Linked DNA regions of Arabidopsis thaliana. The protein of the gene in region 1 interacts with the protein of each later gene in a pairwise test. Each region holds a gene or a part of one and is shown in the gene's direction. Other genes may lie near its edges. The genes, in order: AT1G74910 and NPC5.

Region 1 (6,124 bases):
TCTTGTGCTATATTCAAGATAGTACTAATGCTTTTGTTGCTTTGAGACGAGTAGACATGACTTAAATTTGCTTAATCTTAAAATTAAACTCTTTGTATGTTTTGACGCCGGCAAATGATAGCTGCTGAATGGGCTCTTTTCGGTTGCTTCTGGACAAATGGTCAAATCTGCAGTGCAACTTCCCGCCTTCTTGTTCACGTAAGTCCCAATCTTCTACTTGCTTTAAGGTTTTACCTGATCTTCCCAATATGACATGCGAATATTTATTACTGGAGAAGTGAATGTTCCAAGTCATACGGGAAGATGTTTCCATTAAGGTCAATGACAATGACATTTATTTCAGATCAAACCTTCTGGTGGATATGCCAACAGGGATACAATTGCTGACTCTCTTGTCTAAATTTTTTTATTTTATATCTTAGGAAAGCATCGCATCTGAGTTCATAGAGAAGCTTGTAAAATGGAGCAAGAACATTAAAATTTCAGACCCCATGGAAGAAGGATGCAGGCTTGGTCCTGTAGTTAGCAAAGGACAGGTAAAATCCCAGTGATCGTTTTTTCTGTCTTCATATTATTTGTCAATTTCCCATCAGGTTGCAATACAACAACCAGGACTAAAAAGGAAAAGAGAATTGAGTTCTGTAGTATAGTGATTAACTTTTGTCCCTCTAATTCTGAACCGTTTAGCTTTTAGAGCATCAATCAAATCACATCTAGCATATGATATTTCATCACGCTTATCATGTTCTTACTTGGTAGGTGTGCTTTTCTTCTATGATCATATAATCTGATTGAGCTGACAAATGTAAATATTACAGTACGAGAAGATATTGAAGTTTATCTCAACGGCCAAGAGTGAAGGAGCAACGATCTTGCATGGTGGTTCCCGACCTGAGGTATTACATCTCCCTCCCTTACCTATCCTTGATGCAGTTTCTTCCAGACTATGATGATGACCTTTTATATCATATCTATATTTCACAGCATCTGGAAAAGGGCTTCTTCATTGAACCAACCATCATAACTGATGTAACCACTTCAATGCAAATATGGAGAGAAGAAGTTTTCGGGCCTGTTCTTTGCGTGAAAACATTTGCCAGTGAGGACGAGGCAATTGAGCTAGCAAATGACTCTCAGTAAGTTAACGTTTCTCCAGAAAGTGAAATCTGATCAAATCCCATCCGCTGACACTGGTGTTTAAATCAAATTTATCATTTAAGATCTTATGTGGCTGAAAATTATTCATTGATTAATGACAGTTACGGACTAGGAGCTGCAGTGATATCTAATGACACAGAAAGATGTGACCGTATAAGCGAGGTTAGTACCGGTTTCTTGAACCATTCAGATTTGTTTTTAATGCCTAGCAAGTGAAATAACAATACCATCAAATAACACAAACAATTGGTGTCTACTTTGTTAGGCCTTTGAAGCTGGGATTGTCTGGATTAACTGCTCGCAGCCTTGCTTTACCCAAGCCCCATGGGGTGGTGTCAAACGCAGTGGGTTTGGACGAGAACTTGGAGAATGGTACATTTCTTTTTCTATCTCGAATCTTGTTTTTAAAAGACTATATCTTGATGGCTTGTACTGAACAAATCTTGGTTATGGCTGGTTTCTTGCGTGCTTCAGGGGACTTGATAACTACTTGAGTGTGAAGCAAGTGACTCTCTACACTTCAAACGATCCCTGGGGATGGTACAAATCTCCCAACTAAGTAATGAATACATTGTCATGGAAATGGAAACCAAACCAAATGCTGTCTGTTCAAATCTTTGTGCTTTTATTATCAGTCTGTCTAGTTCGGTCCTGAAACTCTTTTGTAAAACCTGTTGAATTTATAATGAATAAAAGATGCTTTGCTGATAATTATTGGTTGTTCTATAAAGGCCAGTATTGAGGCACCATTTTAGGCTCTGGTGCAGCAGTATCAAGAACATGAACCATTTTATGTCACCTTCAAGTCACATCAAAGTTAAAACTCACATGGCAATCAATTCCAAATCATAACTTTTTTTTTTACTATAATTGCTTGAAATAAACATTTTATGAGATCTGAAGATTTGTGGATTTTTTTTCCATTTTTTAAATAGTAAAATGTTTGGCAACCAAATCTGAAAAAGAGGTAAAGACGAGAGGTCTCGCGCTTATCCTTAAAGGACTGTGGTGAATGGTGAGTGTGACTTGGAGGGACCCCATCACCGCAACAATACAGCTTCTTAGATCTCGATAACCACAACTAACCTGTCACAGTTTCGATTAGATCTTCTCAAAAACTTCACCTTTTTTTGTTTTTCCAGTTTCTCAGAGGAGATCTTCCTTCAAAGCTCAAATCCTTTTGTCTGAATTGTGATACTGCTGTCCCCATTTTTCTGCAAGTTGGGAAATTTCTGTCAAAGTTTTGTGGGTCTGTTAAAAAGATCTGAGCTTTGAACATGGGGAGCTCAATGGAGGAGAAAGTGGTGGCTGTGATCATGGTCGGTGGTCCAACCAAAGGTAACCGCTAAATATGTTTGCTTTTTTTCTTTCTTTCTTTCTGATTCCTCCTCAAAAGCAAATGACTGTGAAATCTCGATTGATCAAATCTAATTCCGTTAGATTTTGATATCCAATGCGTTTCTCTCTTGTTTGGTTATTAGTTTCGTGTATCCGAATGATTATGGTTCTGATTCTGTGTAAATATTGGTTATTGAGTGATGCACAGGCACTCGATTTCGGCCATTGTCGCTGAATATTCCAAAGCCTCTGTTTCCTATTGCGGGACAACCAATGGTGCATCATCCAATTTCAGCTTGTAAAAGAGTAATATTCTTCACTCATGATTTCAACAATTCAGATCACTGGAGAGACTGAGAGATGATGATACCAATCCCTTATTGTCTGCAGATTCCAAATTTAGCTCAAATATATCTTGTTGGCTTCTATGAGGAAAGGGAATTTGCACTTTATGTTTCAGCCATCTCTAATGAACTTAAAGTTCCTGTTAGGTTAGTGAATCTCTCCTCTTTTTGCGTTAGCTTCAGCTCAAGTATCAGTGGCTCATTCGTGTAGCTCTGATCTTTCTTCTCTGTTTTTTTTTTTTGGGATTCTGCAAATTAGATATCTGCGAGAAGACAAACCACATGGTTCAGCTGGTGGGCTGTATCACTTTAGAAATCTTATTATGGAAGATAGTCCGGTTAGTCTCCAAGGATCTTACTATATAGAATCATTCTTCTTTTGTGTTTTATGGACTAAATGCTTCTTCTCACATCTGAGTTCCTATATCTACTTCTTGCAGTCTCATATCTTCCTGCTTAACTGTGATGTTTGCTGCAGTTTCCCCTTGCCCAAAATGCTCGGTATATTCTTTTTCATTAATCCAAACCTTGTGAGGTCTCATCTTATGGTTTTGAAGGTCGTTCTTAACTATTGCTACTTTTGATCAACAGAGGCTCACAGGGGATATGGTGGAATTGGAACTCTTCTTGTGATCAAGGTTTGTGATTGTATATGATTAGTCTGGTTTTTGTTTTTTTGGCGGGTCAATCAAATTTGCTTCTGCGTTTTGGTTTTTAGGTCTCTCCTGAATCAGCCAGCCAATTTGGAGAATTGGTTGCAGATCCAGTTACTAATGAGCTGCTTCATTACACCGAGAAACCCGAAACTTTTGTATGTACATTTATTACTGAGATGACCCAATCTTTATAGCATCTTCAAGCTTTGATTCTTATGTTTTATTTTGGAAACACAGGTCAGTGATCGAATTAACTGTGGTGTTTATGTATTTACACCTGAAATTTTTAATGCCATAGGAGATGTTTCTACTCAGAGGAAAGATAGAGGTAAAGCAGTAACAAAGATCTTACACATAATTTGTGTTTTCTTGTCTTAGCTTTCTATCTTTAAAGACTTCTCATCTTTTTCCTCTGTTTTGTTGTAGCAACTCTAAAACGTGTTTCCAGCTTCGAAGCTCTTCAACCGGCAACAAGGTTTGTCGATTGTCTCCTTGTCCATAATTGAAAACCATTCGAATCATCTTCTTAAAATGATCTTTTAACTTCTTTAAAATAGGATCCCGACAGATTTTGTAAGACTGGATCAAGACATCCTTTCACCTCTAGCTGGGAAGAAACGGCTATATACTTATGAGACTATGGATTTCTGGGAGCAAATCAAATCTCCTGGGTATGTATTGCTTGCCTTGTGTTTTCATTTCTTTGAAGCCGCAAGGATACAAAATGTTTAGCAGCAGCTGAAACAGGGATAGTGTTTATGGCTCTGACTTATGAGTTGACTTTTGCACAGGATGTCGTTGAGGTGTTCAGGACTCTATCTTTCCCAATTCCGCTTGACATCTCCCCAACTGTTGGCTAGTGGTGATGGAACAAGGAGTGCCATTGTGATTGGTGATGTTTACATACATCCTTCTGCAAAAGTTCACCCAACTGCAAAGGTACTTACATATGGTTTTGTCCCTCGTTGAAGCAATTTCTTCTGATTCCACTTTTATCACAAAGCATTAAGTTTCATCTATTAACAGATTGGTCCCAACGTCTCAATCTCTGCAAATGCTCGTGTTGGACCGGGCGTCAGGCTTATGAGCTGCATCATCCTTGACGATGTTGAGATCATGGTATGTCTACTTATACAAGACACAAAGTGAAAAACGGTTAAATTTTCTCGAGGTTGACCCTTCAGTGACTCTTTGCCCAGGAAAATGCAGTGGTGACTAACGCAATTGTTGGGTGGAAATCTTCTATCGGGAGATGGTCCCGCGTCCAGGCATGTTTCCCTCTTCTGCTCATCTCTTAAGAGCCTGACTCATTCTTTTTGGACCTTGAAATGTTTTTGTTTGATTCCTTTACAATCGTGAACCTGAAGTTGTACTTTGTTGATCACAGGCTGAGGGAGTCTACAATTCGAAACTCGGAGTTACAATTCTCGGTAAACTGTTCCTCCATTGTAGCTCCTTCTCTTTATATACAGAAAGCAAAATCTCTTTATAGACAGATAACTAACCTCAAACATAATGGTTACAGGAGACTCGGTTGCAGTTGAAGACGAGGTTGTGGTGACCAGCAGTATTGTTCTTCCAAACAAGACACTGAACGTCAGTGTTCAAGACGAGATCATTTTGTAACTGAAAAACGGAAGTTGAAAAATGGAACCAACCCAGTGGGGAGCAGCCACACTATCTCCCTCTGATTCAATATCTACTGGAGAACCACATAAGCAAATATTTGGGAACTAATTCACATGTATCATTTATTTACACCAAGAATTTTCCAACATTGTATCAATTCCATTTTCTATACTCACAACACAGCTACTGTAAAAGGCACTGAATTTTTGCCCAGAATAATAAAGCACTTGTGTAGTTTTGGCATTGATAATAAACTGTTCTTGCAAAATCCTATGAAGCCTTTCCTGGTCCAGTCTCTATTAACTGCAATGCAATGCTTTGGGGAAGTATTGATTGTTGTAAACATAGCAAGAGTCTATCCCCAATCACATGCAGACTAGTAACTTCATAGCCTGAACTTCCGGAGAAGCCGGCTACCAGATTTACTCTGCAATCTCAAGATCTCCTTTGCAAAAGCTTGATTCCCTGTCAAAAGAAGCCCGTTCAGAACTCGATTAAAAGTAAATTTCCGGGGTATAAACCCTCTCTCAACCATCTCAAGCAATAGTTTACCAGCGACCACCATATCTTCTGATCTTTTTCTCACAAACATTCCACTTATCAGTATGTTGTAAGTATCTAGATTTGGCAAGCAATCACCACTCCCCATTTTCTCAAACAAACCCAACGCTTTCTCGACCTCGCTGCATTCCGAATAATAACGGATCATCATGTTATATGTCTGGAAGTTTGGTTCACAGCCTTCATTCTCCATTCTCTGCATCAACTCCTCTCCACGACTAAACTCTCCAGCGTGAAACAACCCTCTTATCAACACATTATAAGTCGTCACATTCGGCTCATAACCTCTCCTCACCATTTCCTCAAACATCACAACCGCATTCTCCACATTATCTTTCTTACACAAAACTTGAATCATAGCATTGTACGTCGCAACAGAAGGAAGCACACCTTCTCTAATCATCTCATCGAAAACATTCCTCGCCCGCTTTATCTCCC
Region 2 (4,400 bases), on another chromosome or scaffold:
GAGAGAGGGAAATAAGTCAAGTATGAGATTAATCTATGCGCCTAAAACAAGTTTTTTTATTGCATGGGATCCAGGGCCGGCCTCATGACATGATCGATCACATCAGCCTGAGATCGCTGATGTTTACTTGATCAATAAAAGACGGCTATTGTTTATATTCCGAATTTTCATATGCATTGATAAAGATTATTAACGTAAAACATATATGCATATTTTAAACTTTGTGTGGTTTGTTTAGTTTTAATATACATTTTTTTGCTAATATCCAAGGCTAGAGCACTGAATTCTTTCTACATGTGAATATTGTGTCGGTAAGCCTTTTGAATAATTCACAATCCTTAGAAGATTTCCTCAAAAACAATGTTCAATTTTGAGAGAATATAATGAATTTTCAATTTTACAAAAATTAACTTGAAAGATCTTTTTTCCTTCTTCCTAATTTATAATTCGTAAATAATTACATCATTTTTTGTGCTTTCTTCTGCTCGATGAATAGATGACTAATAAATGTTAGAGAGCAAAGCTGAATAGGAGAATTATGTACATCTTATGTGCATCTTAATTTTAAACATGGTGTTGTGTTGGAAAACATTAGAGACATCGTTACGTTGATTATGTAGATATTTGTTATGAATGCTCTTCTAAGTGGTTGTGTAATGTATATAAATTATCACATCCACCTACCTCCTAGGAACCTTTTTGACGTGGAACTTGAAGATCCTAGTTTGAAGAATTTTGAGTTTCTACTGCCGACACAAAGATAAATTAGCCATTGTCGAAGTCGCAGAAAAGACCATAGAAAAGGCTGTTAGGGATATGCAACCTCATTTACTGCAGATTATAGTCCAATGGTATATGAGAGGTATCATAGAGTCTTGTGAAGAAGATGAAGAAGATTTTAGTTGAGGGATGTTCTGTCTGATTTTTATTGCATTTTGGATATAGATAATCAACCGATTGATCTCTTGTTGTTAACCAAGGTCTTTTCCTTCATAAATGTTTTGGCCCATGTTCTTCTAGTCTATGTTTGTGGGAGTGGGATGGGATGGGTAATATACGTTGCTATTAGATGTCCTCAATTATGCTCTGAGAATCGAAAAGGTATTTTCATTGTCATCCAAAATCATAAATTCATATTTTGCTGCTTCATTAAACTGTGTCCTGAAAAATACATCTATGCAATTTATTCTCTTATACAGACAATGCAGAAATATGGTGAATTTCCATTAGACTATAAAGGTAATATTACTTCTGCTTCTACTTAGAAAAGCACAGCAAAATTGGTACCATAGTCCAAAATGTGTGAAATAGTTTTCAGTAAAATGTATTTATAGTAATTTTTGGGGTAAAATGTTAAGTATTTTATAGGGATTTGATGAGGTATTCTTCAATTGTCCAGATTTGTATAGACTCAAAATGTGAGAGAACGAAAAATATCCATAACTAATAAGCATATGATGCTTATAATTTTGATTTACTTCTAACTTTAAATGGGGCACTTTACTTGACGTGATACCAATTCAAAGGACAATAAGCATGCATGATGCGTATTTCTTATTTGCTTTTTACTTGTAAATATCTATCTCTTCAATTTGTCAAGCACTATAAACCCACGATCTTCTCAAACTTTCATCAATAATTCAATTGGAAAACAAATAGAATGGCCGAGACGAAAAAAGGCTCAGAATCGTATCCGATCAAAACCATCGTCGTTTTGGTTCAAGAGAATCGTTCTTTCGACCACACACTTGGCTGGTTCAAAGAGCTAAACCGGGAAATTGACGGAGTCATGAAATCGGACCAGAAATTCAACCCGGGTTTTTCCTCTGACCTAAATTCCCACAACGTCGTCTTTGGCGACCAGTCTCAGTACGTTGACCCGAATCCAGGTCACTCCATTCGGGATATTTACGAACAAGTGTTCGGTAAACCATGGGATTCGGGTCACCCGGACCCAAACCCGGGTCCAGCTACAATGTCCGGATTTGCCCAAAACGCCGAGCGAAAGATGAAAGGGATGTCTTCTGCGGTTATGAACGGATTTAAACCGGACGCTTTGCCGGTTTACAAGGAATTGGTTCAAAATTTCGCTATATGTGATAGGTGAGACCGTTTGACCTGTATAAATTACATCTGTATAACGGTTCGGTTCATCCAACTAAAACCGAATTGGAAATTGGTTGTCTAGCAAAATCCCGGTTTATAGCAAATTTCATGTATTGGACAGGTGGTTTGCGTCGGTTCCGGGTGCAACACAGCCAAACCGATTGTTTATACATTCGGCAACATCACACGGAACAACGAACAACGAGAGGAAATTACTGATCGAAGGTTTTCCACAAAAGACGATATTCGAGTCACTCGATGAAGCTGGTTTTACCTTTGGGATTTATTACCAATGTTTTCCTACTACTCTCTTTTATAGGTATCTTAATCTTTTACGAGTTGCAAAAGATTTTAGTATTATATACTGCTTTGCGATATTAATCTTTATTAGTATTCTTTTGTGTTTGGTTTTTCAGGAATTTGAGAAAACTCAAGTATTTGACACGTTTCCACGACTACGGACTACAATTCAAGAAAGATTGTAAAGAAGGGAATCTACCGAACTATGTTGTGGTTGAACAACGTTGGTATGATCTATTGTTGAATCCCGCTAACGATGATCATCCATCACATGACGTCTCCGAAGGCCAAAAGCTCGTGAAAGAAGTTTACGAGGCCTTGAGATCGAGTCCTCAATGGAATGAGATTTTATTCATTATAACATATGACGAACACGGTGGATTCTACGACCATGTCCCTACTCCCCTCGACGGAGTTCCTAATCCGGATGGTATCTTGGGACCTCCACCGTACAATTTTGAATTTAACCGGCTCGGCGTTAGGGTTCCGACTTTCTTCATCTCCCCTTGGATTGAGCCTGGCACAGGTAAGTATGTGGTAGACAATAATTTAATTATACTATAATGTGTTAATTAAATGACAATTTTTGGTAAAATGTGTAGTTCTTCATGGGTCAAATGGGCCGTACCTAATGTCACAATATGAGCATTCGTCAATTCCCGCAACGGTCAAGAAAATTTTCAAACTCAAAGATTTTTTGACAAAGAGAGATTCGTGGGCTGGCACTTTTGAATCTGTTATTACGAGAAACTCACCAAGACAAGATTGCCCTGGTAATTACATTTTTTCATTTCTAATAAATTCTATCAAAATTTGTGATTATTTTGAATAAATACTTCGTTTTTTAAAAAAAAAAAGAAACATTGTCAAATCCGGTCAAAATGAGAGGGACGGTGGCAAAAGAAAATGCAGAATTGAGCGACTTTCAAGAAGAGCTTGTAATAGTTGCTGCGGGTTTAAAAGGAGACTACAAAAACGAAGAATTGCTATACAAACTATGCAAAAAAACTTGCGTTTCAGATGCTTCTAAATACGTTACGAAAGCGTTTGATAAGTTTGTAGAAGAGTCTAAAAAGGCAAGAGAAAGGGGAGGTGATGAGAACGACATCGTTTTTTGCGTTGATGATGATGATGATCATAATGTTGTGAAACCACCACCATCACAATCAGAGCCATCACATGCTACTCCTTGGTCAAATTAAAATCTGATCGTCTTTTTCAATAAGTTAAACATTTGCTTCGTTTGTCATGATTACTGGACTGTATAAGAAATTTTCATTTAGTTTTTTTTTATGTAGTTTTTGTGTGAAGAGTCAATAGTAGTGTGGATCTATCAAATGGCCCCTATTGAATTCAATTTGTTTTCTAGTAATTGAACCTAAATGCTGGCGTAAAAAGAACAAAAGAAACAAAACTGCTGACATAAGTCGTATAAAAATTGTGACTGGACATGCCAACATAAACGATCTAGACTCGAAAAACAAAAAAAAAACTTAGGCGCGACTTTGTATTCCTATTCTTGTATGGCACGTCACAAAATTGTTCGAGTACAAGTTACTCTTTCGTCACTACAAAATGATCGGTAATAAATGGACACCGCTATTTTAGACCAAGTACGTTTTAGGAAATCTAAAAAGATTTATCGTGGTACAATAAAAATAGGTTGGTGGACTGTCACAATTACAAGCATAATACAAATTGTACACTAAAAATTAATTAATATCCCACCTTGAATCGAAGATCATACGAATTCTTGTTTCTTTTTTTCACACGACCACGAGTATTATTTTATTTTATGAAAAGGTATCAGTATCACTTGGAAGGAATATGTACTGTTAATAGAAAAAATTAAATCAAAACGATAATTGTTGTCTTTATTTAATTTCCCATGTGTATTCGCATATTCTTTGGTTGATATAGAATCATACGCATATTCTCGTTTATATTCTTTGCCGTAACGTGTGTTCTTGTTTTTCTTGACAATTTTCTTCTCA

What was found.
Region 2: the proteins of AT1G74910 (region 1) and NPC5 interact in a two-hybrid assay, tested with the Arabidopsis thaliana proteins (one large-scale study listed by BioGRID).

What each region holds. Positions count from the first base shown.
Region 1 is NC_003070.9:28,134,768-28,140,891, reverse strand, and holds AT1G74910 (ADP-glucose pyrophosphorylase family protein), read left to right. Parts: upstream 1-1,920; 5' UTR 1,921-2,435; coding exon 2,436-2,496; intron 2,497-2,704; coding exon 2,705-2,802; intron 2,803-2,886; coding exon 2,887-2,987; intron 2,988-3,099; coding exon 3,100-3,178; intron 3,179-3,280; coding exon 3,281-3,341; intron 3,342-3,431; coding exon 3,432-3,478; intron 3,479-3,558; coding exon 3,559-3,651; intron 3,652-3,733; coding exon 3,734-3,824; intron 3,825-3,922; coding exon 3,923-3,971; intron 3,972-4,053; coding exon 4,054-4,167; intron 4,168-4,287; coding exon 4,288-4,435; intron 4,436-4,522; coding exon 4,523-4,615; intron 4,616-4,695; coding exon 4,696-4,764; coding exon of another isoform or gene 4,765-4,768; intron 4,769-4,883; coding exon 4,884-4,926; intron 4,927-5,021; coding exon 5,022-5,122; 3' UTR 5,123-5,510; downstream 5,511-6,124. Other genes in the region: ALDH10A8 (aldehyde dehydrogenase 10A8), read left to right, coding at 122-198, 423-536, 819-896, 985-1,136, 1,260-1,320, 1,424-1,530, 1,633-1,717; OTP43 (Pentatricopeptide repeat (PPR) superfamily protein), read right to left, coding at 5,511-5,590, 5,678-6,124.
Region 2 is NC_003074.8:845,558-849,957, reverse strand, and holds NPC5 (non-specific phospholipase C5), read left to right. Parts: upstream 1-1,660; coding exon 1,661-2,103; intron 2,104-2,227; coding exon 2,228-2,425; intron 2,426-2,522; coding exon 2,523-2,932; intron 2,933-3,008; coding exon 3,009-3,179; intron 3,180-3,264; coding exon 3,265-3,608; 3' UTR 3,609-3,737; downstream 3,738-4,400. UniProt on the Arabidopsis thaliana protein: Non-specific phospholipase C (PLC) which assumes minor PLC activity during inorganic phosphate starvation. Can hydrolyze both phosphatidylcholine (PC) and phosphatidylethanolamine (PE).